Yarrowia lipolytica: one gene and its partners. The protein of the gene in region 3 interacts with the protein of the main gene of each other region in a biochemical or structural test. Links are inferred from orthologs where the notes say so. Each region holds a gene or a part of one and is shown on either strand. Other genes may lie near its edges.

Region 1 (8,465 bases), on a different chromosome or scaffold from region 3:
AGACAGTGAGCCACGGTAAGTTAACGCGCTTCGGTAGTGGCTGTTTTGAGAGAAATTGCACTGTGAACAGTAGCTCTTGTACATACTTGTACAGTACTGTATATAAATTTAGTAGTTCCGTGTGCAGTACACACATGTGCGTTACATTAGCACCGCGGCGGTATGGAGATTTGCTAAGGGTGTATTATCACGCATGAATGATGCTTGCTCCGGATATATGGCATGCACCGGATATATGGCGTGCACCGTATATCGTGAGCTCTCACGCTCACGATATAGCTCACGATATACGGTATTATTGAAAGCCAGTTTTGTGTACTTTCTGGGATATTCCCATAATCATGTTACGTAGTCTTCGTCGGTGTAATTTTCGTACACTGACTAAAGTAAAGTCCAATTCATACTCTATCAAAAGTTATTCATAACAACAGGCTATGCTCACATCGATCTTATTAATTATACAGTAACACACATTTTTTATATTTTTAGAATCACAATACTTTGCTTAAAAAAACAGTAAGATATGGATGCTCAACCAGACCCATTCAGTCTCTCACAGACTCCATCAAGTAACGACTCTCACTCATTCGTCTCAAATGCTTCCCCAAACGATCACTGGAACGGTGAGAAACAAGGGGATGAGCGTGAAGCATTTCGCAGAGATATAAACGTTCTGTATGCCTATTTTATCTCTGGACAAGAATGATTGCAGTAACCAAAGCGTTACGGACCATAATGACCCCAATGAAGGCGTCGGCACCTTTTTCTCATAGCAGTCGAGCAGATGGGTGACCACAATAGCCCATGACGACCCGAATCCAAAAGCTATGATTGCAAATCCGACAGTGGGTACCATCCATGGACACCGAGAGCAGTCGATATTCCGAATAGGAGAATGCCGATAGCCATGGAGAAGTTGGACTTCATGAGGCTGTAGAGTTTGAATTCGGGTTCGTGGACTCCTTGGTTTTTGCTGAGCCAGATGATGGCCATATCATGAAACCAACCTTCAAAGAGACACCCCAAAATCATTCCTACACAAGGAGCAATATTGACATTGTCAATAGCTTCAGCTGAAAAGTTATATGGAGGTTGAACAAAGGAGTTGCCCGAGATGGTGGCTGCCATAGATAGCCTGGAGAGCAAGAATCCGTATTGAGGAGCACAAAAAGTCACGATAGGGTATGTGACGAGAGTTTTAAAGGGCGTAATCAATTTCCGGGAAAATTCGACCCAGCTTCCAGAAGTGTAAGTGATAAGAGCCAGTAGTCCGAACGAACCTGTGAGGAGTGATTTGTTTGTCTGTATCTCCAAGTCCGTGCCTGAGGTCTCTAATTTAACAGTGTCCAGACTATTAGAAAGGACAGCATCTTCGATTCCATGAGATCGACTCGGTTTGTTGTATTCTTCTGACAATTGAACCTCTCCCAGCTCGGACAGTTCGGCAACTACTGTAACCAGATACCCGATAATTGGTCTTTTCAAAGAACAGAAGTGTCATAACGAACTGAACTCCAGCAATAATAACAACAATGATGTACACCATTCTCCAGCTGAGATTGAGGGTGATATATCCTGAAGGCACCAGAACGAGAAAGTTGCCCACCTCTACCACAAACATGTAGATACCATTGTAGTACGTGCCTCGTTGGTGAACGATGTAGAGGTCTGCAACAGTCATTTGAATAATGGTCTCATCCACACTCACAGCAAGACCCTAGACAAACATGGACCCATAGACTTGAACGATGGACTTCATCCACGCCTGCGAGGCTTCACAGACGACAACTAAAGCTGAAACTGTCAGATAAAACGGGTCTTTTGCCGAATTTGTAGGAAAATGAAAATAGGAGATCCAAGTCCCAGACCGGCCACAGAAAGGGCATACGAGTTGTTCAGCTGGTCTACAGTCCAGCCATACTCTTGTTGCCAAGGACCCCACATTACGGACTAGACGCAGGCTGAAGTGAAAGCAATGAGTGTAAAAAAACAGACCTGGAAGAAGTTGAAGTGTTTACGCAATGTGGAACAGTTAAGGGGCTGTCTTGAATCGGAAGTTGGCACTGGCTGGAGGGTGGTTTCTGAGGTTGATGTGGTTTCCAGAATCACTGTTCCAGGAGGACATTATGAGTCTGCTTGGGGGTATATAGGGAATAACTAGCCAGTATATGAAGTCTCTGGCTTGAAAATCTCTGGACTATCATGTTTCATTAACAGTGCTCGACTTACATGCTGCCCCTTGTATCGCACTTGTACATTATTACAGATTGTCGACACGACAAAGTTGCAGCTCACCACTAGTTGTACTTCTGAGACATATCTAGCCATCTTATAATACATACAGACACCATAGACGGACAATGTCTTGCGGAATCCCATACAATTCCCTTGTAGGATTCGCCTGAGAACCGATAATGATTTACATTAACGGCTCAGCTAGGTCGTTGCCTGCTGTACCTTACTCACCTCTGCTAAAGCTGTCTCACTAATCAGCACAGATATCAAACCTCCGTGGGGCACTGTGTGCTAATTACCATACAGTAGTCATGTCCTTCCGGTAGCTACTTTCCATGCCATCCTTATCTTAAATTGTCGTAAAGTCTTATCCTTCCTCAGTCTTGGGTCGGGTATTCCTGAATATCACCACTCTCTCGGTCCATACTAACTCTCTCCAGTTCCCCAGATCCGTGGAATAATTTTGTAGATACCAAGTTTCTGGTAATCGATAATACGATTGCATTTATTATTAGAACTACCATTAGGAGTTTCTCGCACGCCTCTCATACATAATTATCGTCACTCTAGACACATTCCTGACCACAGACGTGACTGTATCTTGCATGGAGAGATGTGTTGATACTAAAACACAATATGGTCCGCATGAGTATGTACAAAGTATTGCCATGTCGGATACATTGTTACTGTAGTTACTACTTGTAGTAGCTCGTACTTCACACCAGGAACACAGGTACAAGTACAGTATATACTGTGTGTAATGCGGATATCTACAACCACAGTATATGCTGTAGCCAATGAAGCTCTTACCTGATGGTTCGTAGACAACACCTCCGTTTATACCAACGAAGATGTTTTCAAAGCTACAGGACCAGTCAGTAAGATGGATGCTTGTGCAAGTATTTCACAAACATCTGGCCAAAGAAAAGTACAGATTCATTACATAGGCATTAAGACCAAGACCATAAGGGGGGTCTAATAAATTATGAGAAATGGATGGCGATAGGGACAACAATGACGACAATCAGAATGATAACACCAATGATGAGACAGATCTTCATCTTGAAGTCCTTCCACCACATTTGCTTCCGCACTCGGTTGGCGCCTCGTCGGAAACCCTGTGCAGAGACTGCCAGGTTATCGGTCTTGTCCTGCAGAGAGTCTAGTCGCTCACCTCGCTCGGCGACTTTGTTGATGTTCTCTCGCATGATACCCACGGTATCATCGATTTGCTGGGTTAGAATTTGTCAGATGTGGTGTTTCGGGGATATTAAGAAACACGGCCAGGGAAATGCGGTCGATAACTCATGGTGATACCAGTCACATGACACGATGATAAAGAGATCTTAACGGTGAAACGGTCCAAGAACGCCGCTCAACAGCTGGCGTCTCACAAGTGAAACCTTCAGCTCTGTTGAGTGTGTAGTCGTGCTTGTTGTGGAAGTCGTGACAGTGTGTGATACAGTTGGGCAGGCATCCGTCATAATCAGACGGTGAGCCATATAGACAAACGATCACCTGATTGCACAAACTGGTCACGCAACAAACAACCGACTCTTCTGATGCCTCCAACTGGCCACCGTGCCTTTACCATCCTCTGAGCTGCTGGTATCTCGTTTTTGTGTCTGACGTTATGTCTCCTTAATTCTCGTGAAAGTGCCACGAATTCATACTCACTGCCTGGATGGCGGCGGTCTTGTGGTTACCGCCGGGGGCGTTGGACTCGCCACCGGGAATGTAGGGGTCGTATGGGACAGAAGAGGACATGTCGGAAGTCGGGGATGTGTGACGACTGTGAGGAGTTGAGAATAATGTAGCCAACTGCAGGACTGGGTATTTTTGTGAGGTTTCACACAACAAGGTTATTTTTAGCTAGCGGCATTTGAATTTGCACGTGACGGGTTGAAAAGTGTGTTACAAGGATATGTCAGGGCTGTGTAAGTGGCAACAGTGGAGCTACGGGTCCGGGTGTTTTTTTTTTGCAGGTTTCCGTTCTCTCGTCCCTGGCTGTATCTCCTTTCTCTACCACACTTTCCCTTCTACGTCATTATTTCAACACGTACGTCTTCTCTGTGCAAGTCCCAAAATCATAACACGGAGTTACAACCAGAGGAGTTGAGGTGATTCGCACTACTTGGGAGAATGAAGGGGGAGATAATGTTTTACTGTAGAGGAATGAGGATAGGAATGAGGTATATCATTAGCTATATACCTACAAGTAGCGTAGATTTAAGTGGAACCGCCACAGTGTGTAATTTCCAACAACTTCGGCACATTTTCTGCACTCGTACATGGCTGTACATACCTCATGTATGGGCTGTACCATGTGTGGCAGAGTACACCGCCAGCTATTTACTGTACAAACGATGCCAATCGGGGCGATGAACATTTGCGGGTGCTGGTTAAGCTTGCAATAGCTACAATTGTAGTAAGCGGTACACTCCACCCTACAAAATCCCAATAGAACGGGCCCAGTACTACGATACTCGTTCGTACTTGTACTGCCACGGACTCTTGTTTAAATAATTTGTCCACATCCGCTTCTGGTTATCAGCACAACACCATAACACATGCAGTCACTCAGCCTATTGTGCCGATAGTTTGATAGTTTGAGGACAGTGGCAACGTATTCATTGAAACCCAGCCTCATGCCGCTGCCCAAGACTGTGTCTATGAGAGTGGAGGCGGATCTTGAGCTTTCGGCGCCTTTTTTAAGGGTAGCCGCCGGTAGCCAATATGGTGCTTGGATACTTTTGCCAAGCCATAGAGATGCCAGACGAATGACAAGTATGATTGGATGGAAAAAATGGATGTGAAGATAGAAAGTACTACGGACTTTTAGTGCAAAGCAGGGGCTCTGATAAGAGCTCTATGGAGTGTTCAAGTTCCATATGTCCACAGCGCACGGTATAGATACGTACCCACAGTGCATAACACAGCTACCCTTACAACCAGAGCATCGACTCCCAAGTATGAAATCGAGATGCAAGTAAACAGTCAACTAAAAACGTGATAGCGAAACTAAACTCAAACACGGAATTTACAGCCTTCTATATCAAGACAGTACAACAGAACGAGATTTCACTGTTCTAATTTATGGCCATAGCATTTTACTACAGTAATTTACTCTCAAACCCGTATCCCCCTCCATCGAACCAGTCCTCTCGACACTCACTTTTCCTGCTTCGTAATGCATGCACAGTGAAACTCCTCCTGCGCTCTCCACTCTGTTTAACTTCTGGGAAAATCCCACACCATCATCCGAACTTACATAATGCTTCGTATTCGACCCGTGCTGCGACAAACGACGCTACTCCGCCACATGTCCTCTTCCAACACGCCCATCACCGATGCCATCAACTCCCGGGTCAAGCAGGAGTTCACCCCTGTCTTTTTCAAGGTCAACAACGACTCTCACAAGCACGCTCACCATGCTGCCATGCGGGGATCGGACAACACTATCGAGTCGCACTTTCGACTGACCATTGTCAGCGACAAGTTTGAGGGCAAGAGCGCTCCCATCCGACACAGAATGGTATACAAGCTGTTCGAGGAAGAGATGGCCCAGCCCAATGGTCTCCATGCTCTCTCTTTGACTACCAAGACTCCAAAGGAGTGGGAGGCTCTCGAGAAGAAGTAGAGATAACGATAGACACCCGAAGGCAGAAGTGGACCGTTTAAGACTGCTCACTTGATGATGCAATAGAAGTGATGCCAGACTTTTGCCAGTCACTCTAGACCATCTACTCTATCTGATTTCTCTCGTTCGATTACTGCCTGGTACGCCTCTCCGCGGGCCACTGTCCATCTTTCCATTTCGATGCGATGTTATCTACAGCGTCCCATCATGTATATAATAAAATCTTCTAGTCCAAGTCCATACCCATGTCATGCTACGTTATATGGCAAGATCTACAGTATTAGTCAACTGGAAACTATGTTCTTCCCCCATGCCCTAAAAGAGGTCAAGTGATCTATCTTAATAAGCTGTTTCTCTCCGCGGCAACAGTAGCTACGATACCGGTGCATACCGTACACACACTTCTCCACACCTTTTGCGAACAGCTGTTCGTGCTGTGTGAACAAACATGCAGTTGTTTATACGATGTATCTCAGCACTCGCAAAGACACTACGACTAGGGGTACTATAAATGCCCCTCATACCACAATTACAAGACCAATTTCTACACATCTCTGCATCAAATACTTTTTTTAATATCCTTTACATCACCTAGGCTTAAATAAATGCTATTACTCGCGCTAGTAATGCGTCTCCTTTTGTACATCATCAAATTTTGATTTAGGCCTTGGCGACAGCCTTGGCAAGAGCAGCCTTTCGCTCTCGTCGGTGGACCATGACCTGGAATCGCTCGAAGTCGGTGAGATGTCGTCGTCGCTCTCGCTGAGCGATCTTCTTGGCCCAGCTGGACTCGGACCACTCCTTGAAAGCAGGAGAAGCCTCGACCTTAGCCTTGATGGTCTTGGACTTCATGCCTCGCTTGACACCCTCGACAACGTGGGGGGTAAGGGTGACATGCTTGAGGTTGGCAACCTGTCGGGCAACGCCGGTGGTGGGGCCGTCGATGAGGACCTGGGGTTAGTACTTGTTTCAAACAACATGATAAGGGTGTTGCATCGGTGATGTTGCAAACAAGGCATTCAGCATGCTGTGAGCATTCCACTGAACTTGCCCCGACACTCCCGTGGCTGGACACTTGCTGTGTCGCATTTCATGCTCCTCCTCTAATACTCACTCGTCCGTGGTCGACAATCTCGGCGATGATGGCAAGCTTGCCCTGAGTGGACTTGTTGTCAGATCGGTTGATGAGGACAATTCGGCCAGCCTCGACCAGTCTCCAGTTAACGCTCTTCACTTCGGTCATTGTTGATGTCTGTATGTGTCGATGTGTAAGACTTGATAAAAATTCAAAATCCAGATGTGAGTGGCACAATTAGATTTGGGACGAAAGGGAAACTGAGTGGTCATGTGATATCAATTAGGGCACAGTCACAACTTAAATATATCCCAAAGGAGTCAGTATATAAACCTTAAAATTATTGTGCCAGGACACTATAGAAGCTTCAGCCATAGAGCACAATCATAAACATACAACAGCTTTCAACACACCAGCAAACAACAGCCTAAGAGTGAGTTCCTTTTGGAAGAAGATTTCATGATGATATAATTTGCGATTGAGAAGCCATTCTGTTGAGACATGCCTAGTTTCTACAAGCAGATGGCCGAACTGATATGCTCTTTCTCGTCTGACTCCTCGTTCATTGTCAGTGAATTTTTGACGAGCCATTCTAACAAAGGTTGAAATGCGACGACTCAATGTCAATCTCTCTCTAGGCAGTGATACCCCTGCGACACAAACCTGACAAGCCACTAACGACACCTCCGACACAAACACGATGATTAACTATACAGACGCACACACACACTCTACATAGAGACTTTATGGTGAGTAACTCCTTCAGCAATCCTCTCCTCTGATGATAACTATCTGCTACTTTTCTGTACACCTGAAGACAATCTTTTATCACCAAGATCGCTGATGTTACTATAATGCCTAAGGCGTTTTCTAAACATATTCTAACCCAGATACCTGAAGCAGACCTACTGCAAGTAGTCGTCTCCTCTATATAGCACGAACAGACATGATAATAAGCACACACACATAGCAGACAGAACGAATGCGTAATCGTACAATGTACTGGAGCAAGATACATTTCATCCCCGAAACATCTCCCATATTTATGTGTATCCCTTTATAATGTTCATACTGGTGGCGCTACCCACGTCTACTCCCGCATTATATTACCATTCATTAATTACCTGACTATAAATACAACTGTTGCAAACACCCCCATCACTCACGTCGTCAGCCGGATCTCCGGCAACTCAGACTTCTCTCTCTCCTGATGCTTGATGATCTCATGGACAGGCTTACACACCTTGTCCACCACATCCATGGCCCAAAGAACGTCCAAATGCGAGTAATCAACCACCCGGATGGTATCAACCAAGGTCACATCCGTCTCCACCTGTGTGATGCGCTCGTAGATCTTCTCAGCATCAACCAGCATATCGTTGGTTGGAATCACCAGCACCAGCTTGGGGAAGTTTTGATCGTACCACTTGACCCCCGCCTTGTCCGGCAAGATGCCTCTGTACTTGGAGAAGTGGTTTGGTCCAAGCCACCACTGCATCAGCTGGGAAGACACAA
Region 2 (2,995 bases), on a different chromosome or scaffold from region 3:
TGACACCTATGTTCTAGACATATGATACTTGATGCAAAACGTGTTCAGAGTCCAAGTATTTTACTCGTGCGGTTCTTCGAAAGGATTGCTTGCAGCACAGACTGGTTCTTCTGTTCTTCTGTTGGTTGACGGACAAACGCATTGCTCAGGTTCGTCAATCATGGTCTCGAACGTGAATCAGCAGACGAGTAGTTCAGTCGAGTACTGCTAGATATTGACAGGCTAGTTCTAGCTCTCCTGTGATTTGTCCTACCAAACCAAGTACACTTATCGTCTGTTACATCAACAGGAACTAGCTGTTAGAAGAGTTGCCGGTCTGCTTTCTAGAGACATTTCATTCTCGTCGTCAAGAACACCTTGATAGCTCCGACCAAGAGTCTCTTATGTTATTAATTGATTGATTGCTTCTATTACAGCATTCTGTCATTGTAGGAATCAGCTCTCGCCATTCTGTGCCTCTGCGATACCGACTACTGGTGGGCCACTGAACTGAGGTTGTAGTGGATAGTGCTTTGGAGAACATAACCGATCAACTACTCTTTCGATCCAGCATCTCATCCGTATTTGTTCATGACGTCATCCGGTGCCATGCACCTTTTCTATTATACAATAAATAATCCTCCCTGGTTTGAAATCATGACAAGCTCATAGTATGCCTGCCAACCGCTTCATCTCCCATGATCTGAAAGATGCAGATGCTTCTGCCGTTTCGACTGTCGCAAGAAGCTTGTATAGAGCAGGTTCGCGGCTTGTGACTTGCGATGTTTCACAAGTCGTCCACGAGTCACTGGCCCCCGAGGAGTCCAATGCTCACTGCGTTCGATTTGCCGCTACTCTGCCGTGACATCCTCAAAAGGTGCCAACGGAAGAACACTCTCTTCGAATGCGGGAGGTTCGGGAATGGTAAACGAGCCGTCCAACTTGGCAATGGCATGGGACTTGGATCGAGCATACTCAATTACCATCTCTTTGCCCATGAACTCGCTCTTCTGCAGCCCGTTGAGCGCCGAGATCGACGCATCGATATCGTTAAATACCACATGTGCCTGGCCCCGCATCCGCTCGTTTTTCATCGCCACAATGTCGAGAATGTGTCCGTACGAGCTGAATCGCATGTACAGGTACCGTTTGAGGTCCGATTTAGTGCATTTGTCGGTGAGGTTTTTCACGTAGAGCGTTGGCGATGGGGTGGGTTCGTCGCCATCGGTCTTGGACTTTTTCGCAGGCCGCTTGCTCTCCACAAGAGCCGATTCTCGTTTGGTCTTGCCCATGCTGATATGTTGATGGTGGTTAAAAAATCGTGCATGATATCAGAGTAATGGGTTAGGGTCGACATGATACAAGTCGCTTCAAGGGAAATGGTGAGGAGGCTTGTGGTCCACCATACGACCTATTCGGTATTAGTCGAGAGCTGTAAGTCATTTTTTGCGAGCTTTATTCTACCTGACTGCAAGAACCAATACTTGTATTTATCCGCCTTATATTTACACCATCTCCCCCTTCTACAAGTGATCACTCACCTTATGTAATCAAATGAGGGGTTATTAGGGATTCCTCTATATATATATATTATATATATATATGTGTGTGTATGTTGTATAAGTGTCCTATGTTGGTCCCTTGTATTCTCAACCCCCTTCCCTCAGCCTAAGTCGCCGTCCCGGTATTGTCTGTTCTATTATTTGCTTCACAAGCATCATCTCGCTAATTTCATACTGTATCGTGCATGCAGTCAACTCCCACCTGCATGTGCGTCACGGTACGATACCTGTCGCTACGTGTACCTAAGTTCCAGCACCACCAAAAACACCACAAAGCCCCCCAATTATGGCGACCATATCGAGCTCGCGAACACAAGTGCGACGGCTAGAGTCTCAGCTTGCAGAGCTGCTCTCGGAGTACTCCTCTTTTGCCACCTCTCACGCCATAGCAGCCTCCGAAGACGAGGTACGGATTGGACGGGATATCGAGCAGGTAATTGAGAAGACCGCCGACTCCCTGGAGTCGTTCGAACGTCTGCTGGATTCCACCCCTAACGCCACAGCAACACAAACAGGCCAGTTGCAACGCCACAGAGAGACTCTCGCAGAGCACAGATCGCAATACAAGAAGATCAACGCTGGAATCAAGCAGGAACGAGACCGGGCCAACTTGCTGTCGTCGGTGCGGTCGGATATCGAGGGACACAGAAACCGAAGTGCTACTCCCCAGGCCGAGGAGGAGTACATGTTACACGAGCGAGGCCGGGTGGACAACTCAAATAACATGACCGATACTCTGCTTGCTCAAGCGTATGCGACTCGAGAGGAGCTGCTGACCCAGCGGGCGAGTTTGGCCAACATCCAGCGTCGGCTGTTTAACACGGCTAGCAGCATTCCAGGCATTAACACGGTCATTTCCAAGATTAACACCCGGAAGAAGCGAGACAGTTTGATTCTGGCGGTTATTATCACCCTGGGTATTTTGTTCATTCTCTTCCTGAGATAGCAACAGTAAACTTCGAACAAACGGGTTATTTTGTTGTTTTTTTCTGGGAGCATCTTGGGACACAACGTTCAGAGCGAGGTCTCACAGGATATGTTACAGAAGAAGCCCACGGAATTGGCCCTGATGGAAGTTGCCTATGGACCAAGAAGTGAGCGCAACACAACAAATTGGCGCTCGCTAAGGGTGGCGCAAACAGTAACAGTAGCTGCTAGATTCATTAGGTATGCTCTCTGCTGCTAGAGTGAGGTGAAATAGATGAATGTATTTAACAGTAGACTAAGCGTCGCAGTAAGGCTTGTGCCTGTTGCGGTCATTGTATTACCCTAGTGTGTACAATGGGGGAACAGTCTAAGAAGGGGGCTACACTGACCCCTATGTACATTATTTATATATGGATTCATTTTACAGGTTGTTTTTTTTTTGTTGTTTTTTTTTTTTTTTTGGTATATATGTCGTGTGGTTTGCATGTGATGTGTGTGATGTTCATTGATGATTCATATCGTGCTTC
Region 3 (8,395 bases):
ATCCGCTTCCACCTCGTATTCTGAGACGGAGGACTCTGAGTCGTCAATAATCACAGCATCGTCCTCATGTCTAGTCACCTGATTGCCTCCATCGCCCTCGGGCAACTCCAGTGTTGGAACTCGTTGTGGCGACTTGTGACGAGCTGATGTAAATGCAGGCAGAGGAGGGGATTTTGATCGAACAGGAGACGAGGGGCGTGATCCACCTGGAGAAACCGTTCGGTCACGTGATGCAACACGTGATAGAGACCCTGGGCGCGAGGGAGACACAGTTTTGTCACGCGAGTGGGAAGATACACGTGACCGGGTGGTTGTAATACTTTCTTCCTCCTCGATACTCGCACTATCTTCAACAATAGAGATAGGCTCCTGCACGTAAGCAGATGAGTCACGTGACGCTATGGACGGCGAGTGTGTTCGGCCCATCACGTGGCCCATGCTAAGGTTTGGCTTGCCCAAAGTGCTGATTTCTGCTGTGCCGATATCAGCATGCTCTCCTCTCAGTGTGTCGGTATCTCCATCTTTCCAGGAATGCAAATTGTGTGTGCTTTTTGCTGTCGACGGCTCCTGGAAGCTTCCGTCGTCACTGGGTTCATCCAGCTCTTCAAGAGCGTCCTTGAACGAATCGTTGGATGTCGTGTCGTGGTATGTGTAGTCGTGTTGGTGTCCATGGTGTGTTTCTTTGGTATCCGAGTTGGATGACGAAGAAGATGTTGGTGATGGTGGTGACGTGGACGTGCGGGATTTGGATGAGGTAGATGATGATGCTGTGTTAGTGACTAGGCAACTACAATCAGTGGTCCCATGGCCTGAGCCCTGTCTTCCGTTAAGTATGGGTAATGCAGTACAGTACCCATATAGATCAAACGGTCCCACTTTTCCTCGGTAGTACTCACCAATAGGCAACGCAGTCTTGTACGACGGCGTCTCTCTCTCAAACGCCCCCTTCGGAGGCTTGCAATCCTTATTGCCATCCTGACTGGTTTCAGGAGGAATGATTGAAGTCGACGGTTCATCAAAGGGGACATATTCCTTTGCATTTCCGTCTTCATCCTTCGAAACATGCCGCCGCAAATCTCCAACCACAGGCTCCTTCCCCTCGCCGTACTTCTGCTCGATCTCCTTCCAGGTTTCCTTTTCAGCTCTCTTTCTTGCGGCTCTCGCTCCCCTCTCACGTTCCTCTTCGGCAGCAAGCCTACGGTCCCGAAGCTCCCGTCTTGCGCGTACCTCTTCTGAAACCTCACCACTCTCTCCAAGATGGAAATAGTCCGAAGCAGGAGACACCACGTTCCTTCCAACTAGTCGATCGAGGGTTTCGGCCGAAAAGTCAGTGTTTTCAAGCGGCAAACTCGACCCGTCCATCGGCCGGAGTTTGCGCTTGCCCCGGTTGTTGCCATCGTAGGAAAACGGCTCTCCTTCCGCAAATAGCGTCTTTTCTAGCAGACCCATGGGGTCGTCTGTGTTAGTAGCAAGGACGATGAGGAGGGGTAGTCGTGGTAGCGTGGGGCCAAAAACACGCGGCAACGCGACACGTGTACATCACATGACCCACACACGTGCCCCAGACACTTGCAAACACCCCCGCAGACGGGCCATACTCACTTTCAAGCTGTAATAGTGTCGGATAAAATGATACTCCAAGATTGCCTATATTTGAACATCATGCATGCCAGCAACCTTAAATGCTGCGGCAGAAAAGAACTTTATAAATAACCGATTCGATAATAGGGGATCATTGAGAGAAGATAGAAGGATTTTGACTGCGGGAAACAACTCCTTGAACAATTTTGACCAGAATAGATATTCCGTAATTCAGAAATGATCATTTTTCAGCTTTTCAGAAACCCCTGAAAAAATACAGTGTTATGGTTGTCTCACATACTGCTCATCATAGGGGTGGTCGTATAAAAAAAAGAGAACACAACAGGAAGGAGTAATGAGAGACAGATATAAATGGCACCATTGTATAGTCCTCATTGCCACAAATCCAATGATATCCTTTAAAATGCTAAAATCCACAAATCCACAATAAATCTCCAATTTTCAAAGATGAGAATCCGGTTGATTCTACGAACATGTTAAAAATACACCTGAAAACACCTGGAAAAACCCAATAAAGCGACCAATCTCACAATATTGTAGATCACGTGACCAACACACATGCCCCAGTATTGGACACGTGATCTCCAATGGACTCTCCCCTCGGCACGACCGTGAAACACAGATGAAACAGTGGAATGTATTATGCGCTTAGTCATCAAGGCTGCACCTGTGGTTTTAAACGTAACTTGCATATGTGTGTGCATATGTGTGTGTGCATGGGCTGCTCCCAAACATGGGGAAATAAGCCGCATAGAGGGTTGTGGCAGGGTATTACGGTCACGTGATCGGGTTCTGGTTGGGGGGGGTCCAAATTTCAAGTTTCGCAGTATTTCTATATTTACATGAGATACTGAGATTTTGATGGTACCATGAGAATGGTGAGATCAGCAGCTACATTTTTATATGTTGAACATCCTAAACATGAGAGCTGTTTTACCCGCTCTGGTAGTCTCCATGAAGTAGGCCGAAATACAATATTGAAGGGTCATAGAATCAGAACCAGGAGGGCTCCGGGAGGTCTCTGGGGTGACTTGTTCTAGATCAACAGGTCTGTGTTGCCACGGAGGAGCTGAGGTGTCTTCTTTACGGAGGTATTTTCTAAGTAGGTCATTTCGCACGGACTTTGCGACCCTCAGCGAGCCATCCAACGGGCGTGTAGAAGAGGTCCAGCACCCTTTCCCAGCACCATTGACAGAGAAATGAGCTATTGCTATTGACAGTTGCAATGCAAAACACCACCAAGATTGGAGTTGTAAGTATCCAGTTGGTTGCCCGGTGCGAACCAAGTCCATTGAAAAGACACATTATCAAACAGTCCTCAACAAGACCATCTTCTAACACCACGCGTGGCTGCAAGAACCAGATACCAGACACATCCAGCACATTCAAACACCATCTATTCCACTATGTATCCTGCCTGCCCTTCCTCTCCCGTGCCCCGGTTGTATATGCAAACCCACACCTGTGCGTCCGAGTCCATGTTGTTGACAGAGGTATGACAGAGTTCTTTCAAAAGACTGGATAGAGAGATGAGGAGTTCAGTGAAACACTCAACCAAGAAAACACCATTTCACCACATTTCAACCAACTGTTAGTCCTCAAACCAAGATGGAATGTTGGCGAGAAAAACCCTGCTCCATTCGTCTTCTCTAGTTCACATGCCGCCTTACGAAATCAACACCCACAACATGAAAAACGCAATAACAATACCAAACACCTTGACCATCAACCACCGATTCGACGAGATTCGAGCGTAGTACTTCATGAGTTCTCTCTGCGCTCCACTCACGTTCAACGAGATATCATCGGTGTTCTGGTCGATTCGGGCCACAGTTTCTCTCTGTTCCGCCACCATAGTGGCCAATTGCGAAAACATGCCTCCAAGTTCTTGGATGGTGCTTTCGATGGCCTCCACGGCTGTCGACCGCTGCTGCACGTACATGTCTTGTTGGTCAAGCAGTAACGTGTCCTGCTGGGGGAGGGTCAACAGGTCTGATGTTTCTGGGTCTGCTCCACTCAGTTGATCCTGCTGTTGCATCTGCATATCGTAAGGGTTGGACGAAGCTGTTCCCGAGCCGTAGAGCGGGCTGGAAGCCGCTTGTTGTGTGGAAGCCGACGTGGCGGAAATGAACTGTTCATGTCGAGATTTGGATGCCTGGATGTTTCGAGTTCTCTCCTCCAGAACATCGGCAAACCCTGCCGTGACTGTCGACAGCTTTTCTTGCAGCAACACCACCACGTTTTTCGAGTGCTCCATGGTCTGCTTCTGGCCCGTCGACTGCTTGGCCCGTTGCTGGAGCTGGGTCAGCTGCTCGTTAACCCGCGACACCTTCTGTTTGATCACGTGCGTCAGTTCGTTGATCTCCACGGGGCGGTCGTCGAACAGCGTCTTGCGCTGCGCCAGCTGTGCTAGCCGTTGCAGCATCTGTGTGGTGTCGGCGATTTCGGCGGCGATTTTCGACGCGTCCTGGGCAAACTGCGACTTTGCAGATCGGGTTTGTGGCGCCGGCACGGCGTTTTGCCGCAGCCGCGCCTGCGCCGCGACCGCGCTTTTGAATTCCTGGGTCCGGTTCTGCACAGAGAGCATCGCGAACTGGGGACTGTGCTGTTGTTGTGGGAGGTTGAGTCGGACAGTGTCACTCTGGCGTGTTGGAACTGTGAGGTGTTCATATTTGGATGCATGTAAAGTTGCACGTGAGCTTAATTGGAGGAGATGGGGGGCAGGAAATGTATGGGTGGAACGGCGGGGAGCGGAGGAATCGGGTTTCCGAGTGGATAAATCGATTTATTTGCGCGGGGTTTCCATCGTTGCGTCTTTTCTGGTCTCAATATGTCCTCTCTAACAGGATCTGAGTGGTTCCCAAACCACTACCAAAATTGTAAAACGGCGGTAAAATCGGCAAAGTGCCAAAAGGGGGGTTGGCTGTGCTTCTCCTAAATGGGAGAACCAGTCCAAAAAAATAACCCGACATGATCTACTTATAGTGCCAGTACGTACCACTAGTGAACCGAAACACACCATAGTAGACACTAAAGGTCTTTGTTACAGAACAGGCACAGCCATGAACAAGGAATATGGGTGACCTGACATGTTGCGCATTCGTTGCTATGTAGGCATGTACGGTTGGGGAGTCCTCAGCTGTAGATAGGTAGGTACACCACCATACATACACTACTACGAGAACAAGTAGCCATTCACGTTGTGTCAGTCAAGAGGCCCAAAAACAAGGAGTCGAAGGTTCACGTGAACCAGACCGTTCTGATCTGCCACTTTTCGTCTTGGTTGCAAAACGCAACATTTCCGTTTGATACAACTGCTCCTATCGCCGGACCGTTGAACGGAGTCCGAGAACAACAATGTGCAGTAGCAGGTTTTCAATGACAAGGAAAGATGTGCGTTGGATTTAACGATCCCGAACCAATCATCCATATCTTGTGTACAAACAGTCTCACATGTCATCCACTTTTCGTTTGAATGTGAAGTGGTTAGTTGCTTGTAGTTGAAAATTAGTTAACATAGCTGAGATTAGTTGGGAATTAGTTAACATAGTTGTTTAGTTGTCGATTAGCTGTTGGTTAGTTGTTGATTAGCTGTTGGTTAGTTGAATATTAGTTGACGTTTCGTATATGAAGCGTGTAGCCGTGGCCATTGTCCAATTTATTACTGCCAACCCTCTTGGGGATGTCTCTTGTCCACCGTTTTCATCATGGACATGGACACTACCGGCTTAGTCAGAATTGGCGAAATGGACCGCGACAGACGTTCACCAAGTTGTCGATCGCCTGCAGACTGGCTGAAAGGGTTCTGTACAAGTACAGTACTCTGGAAGGCTTTGCTATGGAGCAAACTGACAGCCTGACATTCCTCGAACACTCCAACACGGGTACCTCCTAATGCATAGTGGTGTCTGTATAGTATGCCATGCGATCACACCTCAAACCCGACAACGCTCAAACACGCCTCCGAATGTTATGCCATACACTTCCAGGCTTGTGTGTAATTTTCGGCCACTTTGTTCTGCACTGCCACAAAAATACGAGTCCAAGCGGCGGCGACTGAGCCACAGGTGGCGTGTTCGGACCTGCAAATTGACCGCAATTTGTTTTTCGTGAGGTTAAAACTTCGCCATTGGTGGGGCGGGGCGGGGCATGCAGAAGCCGTATGCAAAAAGATCGACATCGATAGAGTGCATGCTGGACGGGTCTATCTGGGTCAGAGAGGACTTGAAATGGGATGAAACGACGCAAAATGGCAAGGGGAATCGCTTGCTTTTTTCAGATTTCCGATCAGACGATTATCAAATCTGGTTTAAACCCCACTTTGGAAGTGTGTGGGTCCGATTCGGTATTGACAGAAAGGGCCGAATTAAAGGAATAAACGCCTTCTGAGGAATAAACGCCTTCTGAGGAATAAACGCCTTCTAAGGAATAAACACCTTCTGAGGAATAAAATGCCGTCTCTGCAATGCAACATCCCTCTCTCTGGCCATTCCGACAAGTTCACCTACCGCTTACTAAGCACTCGGCACCTCATCTGTAAGGTACAGCCGAGGTTCATGTCCCCCAGATGAATGTGGTATGTGCATCGACAGCCAACAGATCAGGACACACATAACCACAAGTACTGTAGTCGTAGTCGAATTCATACTCGTAATCGTCGTCGTAGTCATAGTCACCCACACCAACCGACTTTGCCACCTCCACCAATTGCCCACACTCTCCACCGTCCAGCTCCCTCTTGCGGGAACCCTAACCCCGTCATAAGTAGGTCAAGTTGCTACTTCACACCGGACTTGCCTGGTATGCTCTTTAGTCCTGCTCGAGGCGGGATGGAGAATCGAGCGAACCGTTGCAACAGCCTCAGACACATGTATATGAGATGGTGTACGGTACGGTACTTGGTGGTTGCACTCGGTAGTTGCAAGTTCTGTATGTACCATACTCGCACTTGTTCAACATGTCAAATGCTACAATGTAGACTGCGTACATACTCACAATCACGTTACCAAAAAAGGTCCAAAACGAACCTAGATTTGGGCTAAATGTGGATGCGTACCGCCCCACCAGATTCGGCAGACCTTATCGTAGACCGGAGAAGCGTCTCAAACGCAGTATTCGGCCCCCATCTTACTTTGGCTGGCCGCTGATTGGCCCGGTCTCCACTTGCTGACACAAGGGAAAACCTAGTTTGGCCTAGGTTGGATATAAATCCCACGCGGACTCCAGAACCCCAGACTCACACGGTATAACACCTGAAGCACAACAACATGAGCGAGCAGTACACCCCCGAAGTGAGTATGAGCGATCTGGGAGATTGGCGGACGTTTTGGCGAACGTGGCAGAGGTAAAGAGAGGCGCCAGAGGCGGTGAGAGTGCAGATGGTGCAACGGGGTCGGGTCAGGTCAGGTCACGACAGCAGACACAAGTCTGAAGACGGGACATGTTGTAGCGGGATGGCAGTATCGACACAGACACAAACGGTGGTGACAGCGGTGACAAACGGAATTGGTTGGGCGACACAGATGGCCAGGAGAGATTCTGGATCTCAGAGTCGGGCTTTGTAACTGGGACAGGGCTTCTAGAGCAACTTGGTCACGCGCCGCCGCCAGGGAAAATGCCATCTAGACGGGTTGTTTTACACAGATCGTTTAGACAGATTGTTTGGACACAGCCCCTAGACACATTGCTTAGACGGCTCTCTCTAGACGCTCTGTCTATCTGGACCGTCCATCTCTTCCCAGTCGGATTGGACGGTCTAGATCGCCCTCTCCCTTTCACTTGCTGAGTCAGGCTTTGTGTTTGTGTCTGTGTTTGTGTTTGTCTCTTCCTCTGTCTTTCTCAGGCTGGGCCTTTCCCGGCGATCAGCGACCACTGCCACTTGCTCCGTTTCTTTCCGCAATGGTCAGATTGCCTCCATAATGTGACATGTGCTGGGGATAATTTTAGGTTTGGTTGCATGTGCCGAGGTATTGCGGTGGATGTGGGCTAGTGACGTCAGGTGAGGTGAACAGGAGGTGGGAGACTTGGAGAGTCGCTTTCGGAGCTCCGGAAACTGAGCCGAACCCACCACCAATGGTTCTGCAGCAATTGGTAGCCTCCAACGTCTCTTGCCCTGACTGCTCTGAAAATCACGTTCCCCACAGAAACAACCTTAACCCCCCAAAGCCGATGAACTCTATTCGGCCCCTTAGGTGGTGTGACATCTGGGGTACACACTAGCCACTGCGGTAGTGTGATAGGAATTGAGGTAGATAGTGAACATGGACCGGGACTGCGGCAATCAATCGAACGAATCACCCAATCGATCGATTGACCCACCCACCGCCGCTTGGTGTTGCCACCGCCACCACCGCCGCCACGTTGCATAACCTCCCCACACAAACCAACCTTCCAACCTTCCCTCGGTACATGTGCATTAATGTGCCTAAAGCCTATTGCACCACTCATGTGTATATATACAGCGCTAACGACAGCAAGTTGCGGAGCACAACTCTCCCGAATCTCTGTGGATCATCATTGACGGTAACGTTTTCGACCTCACTGAATTCCAGAAAGAACACCCCGGCGGAAAAAAGATTCTCAAACGAGTCGCAGGAAAAGACGCTACCAAGTTTTTCCACAAATACCACGACGCCCCCAAGATTATGCGAAAGGTTGGACACAAGTTCAAGATCGGAACCCTTAAAGACGCTGAAGCAAACCCCACTCGAGCCATGATTGCCCCTAACAAGACCACCGCCCTCGAGCCCTACGGAGACCTTGTCCCCTACGCCGACCCCAACTGGTACCACGG
Region 4 (8,108 bases), on a different chromosome or scaffold from region 3:
GGGCCAGGAGGAGCGCCCAGAAGCTCCTCTCGGAACAGTTGGAGAAGCTTCTCGTAAGATCTCGGTGGAACGGGCGGTTGTGATTGCTTGGGTGCCGGCAGTTGCAGCTCAATCAGCAGCTTCTCAATCGCTACATGGGCACACAGAGCCATGCGAGCAGGAGTCTCGTTGGGCTTCATTGGAATTGTCTGAGCCTTGCCCATGAGCGTGGATGCGAGATTTGTCACCTCCCTTGGAATCGGAACGTTTCCCACCAGCTTGACAATCTCCGCGTTGATTTGTTGGTTCATGGTGAGTGTACTGTTGCGTCACATCCAACTTTTCAGATTGTCCCGTTCTTGTATTAAACTATTAGAGTTTGGGTGGATAACACTGATCAGGATATGATAAAAGTTCGTATGTAGGAGCCAAGTAGGAGTGATAGGGACATGCCCTACGGTATGTAGATAACTCATAGTTTTGTCTCACTTGTAACTATATACAGGTAGTCAATTTCCGTATCATCCTCCTCAGCATGTCCACCATTATCTATTATTATATGTAAAGATTGTTCCACCGTTAATTAAACCGTACCTGTTCTCTCTCACTCTGGGCTCTCTGTTTTGTTTTGTTTTGAGTCGCGTTGTTTTGTTTTTATGACCATTAGCTTGCTGGTCGTCTCCTAACTGAACCACTTCAAGATGTAATAGAAACACACGAGCATGAAGACGATGCCTCCGTAGAAAAACCGTTTGTCCTGTCGTGCTCTCTTCTCCACCATCTTGATGGTCTCTCGAGACAGACCCAGAGTCTCGGCCACAGACCGCATCTTCTTTCCGGTGCTTCTCAAAATGTCGCTCTGCTCCTGCAAGTCGCCCAGAGCAGCCATTCCCTGCTCAATGAATGAGTCGAGCTGCTGGCCCACCTGGTTCAGAGACGACTGTTCCCTTTGCATGCCCTCTTCTCGTGTAAGATCTGTGTAGGTCGGCTGAATCGGCACGTCTCGGTTCACGTTTCTGTTTCGCGACTCGCCGTAAGGGTTGTCTCCAAACAGCGCCGTTTTGTTCTCCTCTAGCGTTTTCTCTTCTCGGGCCGATCTGAGGTTCTTGAACTCGCTTCGTGCGTCGGCCAGCTCTTCACGAAACCGAGCCAGACGTGCCTCAGCCTTTTCCTTCTTCTCCTTGTTGTGTTCCTTGTTGATAATTTCCGAATAGTCGTCCAGGGTTCGGCTGAAGGAGGTCATGGTAGCCGAAATCTGGCCTTGTAGCGACATGGGCGCCCCTGCGGGGTTGGCGGAGAACTCGGACAGGTCCTTCTTTAAGCTGGCATTCTGCTTCACCAGATGGTTGTGAATCGCGTTCATGGTGAAAGTAGCTAGTTTGCGGTACGAGCCCTCGTTGTTTGTTAGATGACGTGTTAGGTTGGTGATGTATCTCCAAGGTGTGAGTAGTTCCAACAACCTAAACTTTTATTGTTGTGGTTGGCACAATGTGATGTGCACGGGATGCACTGCTTTCGGAGTCAGGGGTACAAAAATGGATTTATGGAAAGTATGGCGAGGTTTTTGGAGCTGAACTACAAGTAGAGGTTTAGATAGCGCAAGAATTTTTTCAAGGGGCCGTTAATAGGACAACGTGCTTTTTTTTTCTTTTTCCCCTGCATACAAGTACCAGGTGGAGCTGAGTCCAAGTAAACATCTACTAAACTTTGAACTAGCTGCTCGTTCTTAACAAGCTTCAGGCTGTAAATTGTACAAATGCAGAAGAAAAAAAAAGTTGGCTACGAGGGCATCACAACTCATCAATAATAGATAGCTATGCAGCTATACAAGCAGGTTCGTACCCGCTCATAAGCAAGCCCGCAAGCTTGCTCACTCTCCCCTTCTTCCGTGAAGACTCTATTAGCTATGTACAAATAATTCTCCCTTAAGTAACGTACTTTCGAGAGTAAGCGACCTTCTTGTCGAGAGTGCTCATTCGGCCCTTTCGCCACATAATGACAAGCATGACGGTGGTAAACACACACACGCCGTACCAGGTGGCAATATACTGTAAATGGGTGTTTCGAAGATCGACCTTGGGCAGCTTTCCAATGGGCACTCCATGGTTCATCATATGGGACTCGGTGACCCACTCGTGGCCTCCGAGGCGCATGTTGAGCTCCTCCTCCAAGTAAATGTTCTGAGCTCCGGTGAACTTGGACATTGTCGGAATGTCCATGAAGTTGTAGATTCGGACACTGGGGGAAGTTGGGGAATCGGGAGTGAACATGTTCTTGAGAGGAACAGGTCTGAGCAGACAGACGAGAGAAACCTCGCCCTTGGGCAGAGCGAGAGGGTCTCGTTTCTTTTGGTCCGCCATCTCCTTGGAAATCCAGCCTCGCTTAATCAGCAGCTTGGATCCACCGGTCTTAGATCGGTCGAGAGGAGTCACAAGGAAGTAGCCCTCGACAGAGTCCTTCATTCGAGGTCCGACCAGGAACTCTTCATCGTGGCACAGTGTACCAGTAACCACCACCTTTCGGTACTCAAACTCTCTCTCCAGAACCTCCTGGTCCTCGGTAATGTGTCCAGGCAGGGGCAGAGGCTCCTGGAGAAGTCGGTTCTCACAATCGGCAATCTTGTCCACCTTCCACTGCAGACGTTTGACTTGCCATGTGCCAAGGTAGCCCGAAATGATAGGCATGAGGGCACAAAGACCGAGGAAGACAAAACGCTTTCGGTTCTTCTTCTGTGATTGCGGCTCTGGCTCGTCGCTCTCCAGCTCGTTAGCTCCAGACTGCTTCTTCTGCTGCTTAGGTTCTTCACTGTTGGTGTTGAACATGTTTTTGTTGTTAAGCAGAGCGCTTCTGGTCGAAAACTGTCGAGAGGCACATTGAGGGGTCAGTGTAGTGAAGGCAGGAGCTGTGGTGGAAATCCTTCCAATGCGGCTAGCGCCATATCGAGCCACTCTGAGAACTTGCATTGTTGATGAGGAAAAGTGGCTAAGTTTCGATATAGAATTGAGTATCTGCACGTTGTGCTGACTAAGTGTGGCTAGTTTGGGAGATTGTGGCGCAGTAGCCAATCGGCGAACATGATGCGGAACATGTTTGAGCGCACTAAACCACATTAAAAGTACTGAGACAGATACTATAAGATTCATGGAATTATCCCTTGTACTGTACGTATACTTGCACCTGCTATATTCGCCACAGATTAGGACGGAATTGGAGTTTTTAGTATGTGGTCTACGATTGTGCTGTTTGTCCACTTCACAACTACCCTCTGTGCTGAGTAGCATATGTCATGGTGGCATCTTCCGGCTGTGTTTGTCTCTGTTACATAACACTGTCTGGCTTTCGAAGCTCGAAGAGTTGGCCAATCCCTAATGGTGTGGGCGCTCGGAGCTTCTGCTACTTGTAGCATACTGTAGCTCACTGTGGTCCTAACTGCATCTACTATGACCCTCTACATTCCATTACTGTATACCAAATGCAAATAAATAATTATTTATGTAACCACCTAACTATCCCTGGAATAAGGCAGGATAGGTATTATGTAACCAGTTGAGATACTGCTGCTCAAGCTGAGGAGTGTACTTTTGCTTAGCCTCCAGCAGTTCAATCTCGTTAGTCCGAGGACCCAGTGTCTTGGTCCATCGACCCTTCACACTGCTGGAGTCGTGATGAGTGTACTTCTCTGCAAACGGCTCATATGAGCTATAAGATCCACGTTTTGAGGGGTCCAAGTCACAGACAAAGGCCTTGATCGCCAGGTCGTCCAGATCTGTGTACGGAATTCGCACCCGAGGCTTGGGTCCCGTCGTTCGTTGAGCCTTGTGCATGATCTTGGCAAAGACATCACTCACAGAAGCGCCTTCAATGACAGGAGCATTGAGGGCTATATCACGTAAATTCTCGTCGGCTTCCAGCTTCGAGAGACGAGTTTGCAGGGAGAATTCTGTGTGTCCAATCATCGCGGTGAGCTGGTCAAAGAGCTCCTTGCGAGGAATAGCCAGTTTCTTGGCTGTTTCTGAAGTTTCCAGGAGCAGTCTATCCTTGGAAGGGTTGAACTTGTCCCGTGGTCTTCCCTTCTTCCCTCCCTGGAGAGAATGCTTGCCGCGGCGTCTCGGCTGTATCGGCAGAAACTCGTCATCGAACTCGCCACGAGTTGAATGCTCGTTCTCCTCGTCGTCTCCATGATCGTATGCGTATTCTCCTTCATCTTCTTTGACAGCGACTTGATCCCGGCTGTTGTTTTGATGTTCATTTTGGTGTCCATTCCCCTTTCTGTCCTGCCCGTATTCATCATCACTGTAGTGGTCAGAGTCGCTCTGGACAAAGAACTCTGCCTGTCGCTCTCGGGAAAACTCGGTTTCGAACCCGTCATCAAATCCGTCGTCTTCATCCAGCAACACTCGGCGTCGTCTACGAGCTTCGCTGGGTTGTTTGGTGGGTGACTTCGGTGGCTGAGAGGCCCTCGTTGATAGTTTGGGCGCCTCGGCTGGAGTCTTGGAGAGAGATCTGCTTGATCTTGTTTTTGTAGGAGTCGCTTCTCGGTCGGATTCTGACTCGGAACCATCTACAGGTTCGTCCTCTGTTTCCCCTTTATTGCCGAGATGATCTGGGGCGGTCTCAAACTGTTCCTCATCCTTTTCAAACTGCTCCTCAGCTTCGTAGAACTTGTCATTCTCGTGCCTCTTGGGTTCTGGTTTCACAGACTCCTGGCTTTCTTGAGTGTGTGATCCAAAATCATCATCAGAGTCTGAAATCTCCTCGACCTTTCGGATCCTTTTGTTGCGATAGGTTCGGATTGAAGGTTGAGTAATAGACACTCTCTTGCGAGGAGACTTCTTGAGAGAAGGCAGTATCGATTCCGAAACTGAGTCAGGAATCGATTCTTCTTCTCTCTGTCCTTCCTGTTCAGATTCCTCCGACTCGTTTGTGGTGTTGGAGTTGTCAGAACCGTCAGGACCGTCAGAGTCCGAGTCCTGGCCCGATCCCTTTCCCTCTCCCGAGTCCGAGCCCGAGTTGTCAGAGCTGTCGGACTCATCAATCTGGGAAGCTGTGACGTCAGTCACCTCTTTTTTCACGTTCACTGTTTTACCTTGGGGTTCCGACTCTTGTTCTTCCTCTGACTCCTCAGAGTCACTCTGATCGTTCTGTTCGTCCTCGGGCTCCGTGACCTTAGATTCCTTGTTCACAGGTTGGAATGGGTTATCGTCTCCACCTTCCTCGTCATCCTTATCAACGGCTAACGTATCGTCCACCGTCTCAACACGTATTCCCTTACTCCTTCTCCTCTGTTGTCTGACCATGGCCTTGAACCGTGATGCACTGCTCTGATACTTCGCCGATGCGAACTTAGAGGGAGTCTCCAGAATAGCAGCACGCGCCAGCGAAGGTGTGCTTCGCAGCTTATTGAGAATGGTGCGGTCATGAAACTCCAACGTAGGGTACATTTGCTTGTGATGGGCCATCTCGCGCTTGGCACAGATGTTGATGGTGTCTCGAGACGGGGCGAGCACCTCGACTCCGGGAATAGCTGCGATCACCGCCTCGCGGTTTTTGGTTCCTGGAGAAACGTAAAACTCGTGCTCTTGTTGTAAATGCGGTCGCGGCGTCATGTGTCGGAGCAGCCGGCGTATATCCAAGGTCGACTGTAGTACGATCACTGGTACGGGTACCGTAATTGGAGATGTTGTTGTGGTGTATCGCTTCTAAACAGAGTTCGAGAGCTAGTCTAATGGCACGCTTTGACTAAACATTCTACAGTAAGTGCAAGTAGCTACAGTAGATACTACAATATCAAGCTAACTTGTAGTAATTGAGCCGGTGCTGTCGTTTTCGTGTCATGAAATTAGGCACGGTCAAAACCCATTGCCATGGAAACAGTGGCGAGACACAGCACAGTTTGGACTATGGAAAACAGTTCAGACGCAGCTGCTCAATTAGCTATTGCTTGACTATAGACTGACTGACACTCCGGAAGCAGATAAATTCCTACAGCATAGTCCCACGGCTCTCCTTGCCCGTACAGACACCCATGCCTATTATACAATGCACGTCACAATGTAGACTTGGGTGGCGTCGTAGATGCACAACAATGGAGACGGAGCGTGTCGAGCAGTGTCAATCGCGTGTACGAAGCGCGTTATAGAGAGGGTGTCGGATGGTTGCCACTACAAGTATAGTGGATACACTACAAGTACCCAAAGATGGGTTGGCTGGTCATCTCATCGAAGATTGCGGTCCTGGCTAACAATAGCTGATCTGCAAATGTCTTGTGGCCATAACTGAGAACACAATGGTCTCGTACCTAACCGTTTTATGGTCCAAGGCTGTACAAGCTGGTGTGGACAATGGAGCACCATATAGAAATTATAGCGGCAAAGAAGGTGTCCGTGCCATAGAAACAAGCGTACCAACGGCCACAGCAGCGACACAATCAACAGCAGCAGCCGACAACAAGGACTACTTGTAGGTTGATAGTCGGCTTCCGCAGCGATAAGTTATTTAGACCGAATTAGGCATTGTTATGGAATGTGTGGGTCGCAGACAATGGAGCTGCACGTTGGCTTCACTTCCTTTTGGATGTGCACAGCTCCAAATTGTTGTTGCTGCACGCTTTTTTCGTGCAGAATAATATAGGGTTCCCCGATTTGGATGCTAAATGACGATGCGCGTCACTTTTAGCGCGCGTTGAAGGGAGAACGATACAGCATGTGCGTGTAGGACGAGAGACGGATAATATAAAAGAGATATTGCTTAGCTATTGTTTTAATTGAATTTTCTGTCATTTTCTTATAGTAGTCATATAATTTTTTCTTGGAAAACCACTGATTTGCACAAACTAACGCGTGATCAAAACACGAAAAGAGCTGTAAATGAAAATCATTTATAATTGAGTTCGACGCGGTGGCAACCGTGACCAACAGGATCCAAACACCAGTATAGGAGGTGATAAAGAGGAGCTGTTGATAAGGAGAAAAACGGATATGATACGAATGATTTTTTGCAACGTCTACTGATATGTCATTTCCCATCTTTGCTTTTCTTTCACCCCTTTATCACGACCCATTTCAGTAACCTGCACCTTGACCCTAAACCAAGGGAGGGAACCTAATTCCGTCAAATATATAAGATACGTGTCTCCCTGTGCAAGCGTGTTTTCCTCTCTCCTTTTGCATACCCATCCCCCATCATGTCCAAGCTCTTTGTCATCAAGCGAGACGGCCGCAAGGAGTCGGTCCAGGTCGACAAAATCACTGCACGTATCAAGCGTCTGTGTTACGGCCTCGACCCTGACCACGTCGACCCTATCCAGATCACCCTCAAGATTGCATCCGGTATCTACGAGGGTGTTAGCACTATCGAGCTCGACAACCTGGCTGCCGAGACAGCCGCCTACATGACCACTCTGCATCCTGACTATGCGATTCTGGCTGCCCGAATCGCTGTGTCCAACCTGCATAAGCAGACCAAGAAGCAGTTCTCGCAGGTGGTTTACGACTTGTACCACTACGTGAACCCCCGAAACAAGAAGCACTCGCCCATGGTCTCCAAGGAGCTGTACGACACCGTGCAGGCCAACGCCGACGAGCTCAACGGCGCCATTCTCTACGACCGAGACTTCACCTACAACTACTTTGGCTTCAAGACCCTGGAGCGAGCATACCTGCTGCGAGTCAACGGTGCTGTTGCCGAGCGACCCCAACAGATGATCATGCGAGTCTCTGTCGGTATCCACGGCGACAACATTGCCCGGGCCATTGAGACCTACAACTATATGTCTCAGAAGTACTTCACTCACGCTTCCCCCACTCTCTACAACGCCGGAACTCCCCAGCCTCAGATGTCGTCGTGTTTCCTTGTCAACATGAAGGACGACTCCATCGACGGCATCTACGATACCCTCAAAACCTGTGCTCTGATTTCCAAGTCTGCCGGCGGTATCGGTCTGTCTATCCACAACATCCGAGCTACTGGCTCCTACATTGCTGGAACTAACGGAACCTCCAACGGTATCGTGCCCATGCTGCGTGTCTATAACAACACCGCCCGATACGTTGATCAGGGAGGCAACAAGCGACCTGGTGCCTTTGCAATGTACCTTGAGCCCTGGCACGACGATATCTTCGAGTTCTGCG

What was found.
Region 1: the proteins of YALI1_C23989g (region 3) and YALI1_E00963g form a complex in vitro, tested with the Saccharomyces cerevisiae proteins (3 studies listed by BioGRID). The link is inferred for Yarrowia lipolytica from reciprocal best matches to the Saccharomyces cerevisiae genes SED5 and SNC2.
Region 2: the proteins of YALI1_C23989g (region 3) and YALI1_D30224g form a complex in vitro, tested with the Saccharomyces cerevisiae proteins (2 studies listed by BioGRID). The link is inferred for Yarrowia lipolytica from reciprocal best matches to the Saccharomyces cerevisiae genes SED5 and GOS1.
Region 4: the proteins of YALI1_C23989g (region 3) and YALI1_F39272g form a complex in vitro, tested with the Saccharomyces cerevisiae proteins (5 studies listed by BioGRID). The link is inferred for Yarrowia lipolytica from reciprocal best matches to the Saccharomyces cerevisiae genes SED5 and BOS1.

The regions. Positions count from the first base shown.
Region 1 is NC_090774.1:91,901-100,365, reverse strand, and holds YALI1_E00963g (uncharacterized protein), read right to left. Parts: upstream 4,003-8,465; coding exon 3,913-4,002; intron 3,468-3,912; coding exon 3,219-3,467; downstream 1-3,218. Other genes in the region: YALI1_E00986g (uncharacterized protein), read right to left, coding at 1,355-1,681; YALI1_E00948g (uncharacterized protein), read left to right, coding at 5,510-5,875; YALI1_E00928g (uncharacterized protein), read right to left, coding at 6,536-6,826, 7,347-7,541; YALI1_E00907g (uncharacterized protein), read right to left, coding at 8,113-8,465. UniProt on the Saccharomyces cerevisiae protein: SNC1 and SNC2 are vesicle-targeting proteins essential for normal secretory traffic between the Golgi and the plasma membrane. They may also be involved in vesicle fusion.
Region 2 is NC_090773.1:3,021,220-3,024,214, reverse strand, and holds YALI1_D30224g (uncharacterized protein), read left to right. Parts: upstream 1-1,827; coding exon 1,828-2,487; downstream 2,488-2,995. Other genes in the region: YALI1_D30241g (uncharacterized protein), read right to left, coding at 20-142; YALI1_D30230g (uncharacterized protein), read right to left, coding at 831-1,271. UniProt on the Saccharomyces cerevisiae protein: Involved in transport from the ER to the Golgi apparatus as well as in intra-Golgi transport. It belongs to a super-family of proteins called t-SNAREs or soluble NSF (N-ethylmaleimide-sensitive factor) attachment protein receptor.
Region 3 is NC_090772.1:2,394,694-2,403,088, reverse strand, and holds YALI1_C23989g (uncharacterized protein), read right to left. Parts: upstream 4,190-8,395; coding exon 3,269-4,189; downstream 1-3,268. Other genes in the region: YALI1_C24016g (uncharacterized protein), read right to left, coding at 1-1,449; YALI1_C23950g (uncharacterized protein), read right to left, coding at 7,597-8,049; YALI1_C23948g (uncharacterized protein), read left to right, coding at 8,247-8,395. UniProt on the Saccharomyces cerevisiae protein: Required for vesicular transport between the endoplasmic reticulum and the Golgi complex. Acts as a target organelle soluble NSF attachment protein receptor (t-SNARE).
Region 4 is NC_090775.1:3,925,867-3,933,974, forward strand, and holds YALI1_F39272g (uncharacterized protein), read right to left. Parts: upstream 1,343-8,108; coding exon 662-1,342; downstream 1-661. Other genes in the region: YALI1_F39261g (uncharacterized protein), read right to left, coding at 1-290; YALI1_F39291g (uncharacterized protein), read right to left, coding at 1,905-3,260; YALI1_F39314g (uncharacterized protein), read right to left, coding at 3,486-5,585; YALI1_F39330g (uncharacterized protein), read left to right, coding at 7,163-8,108.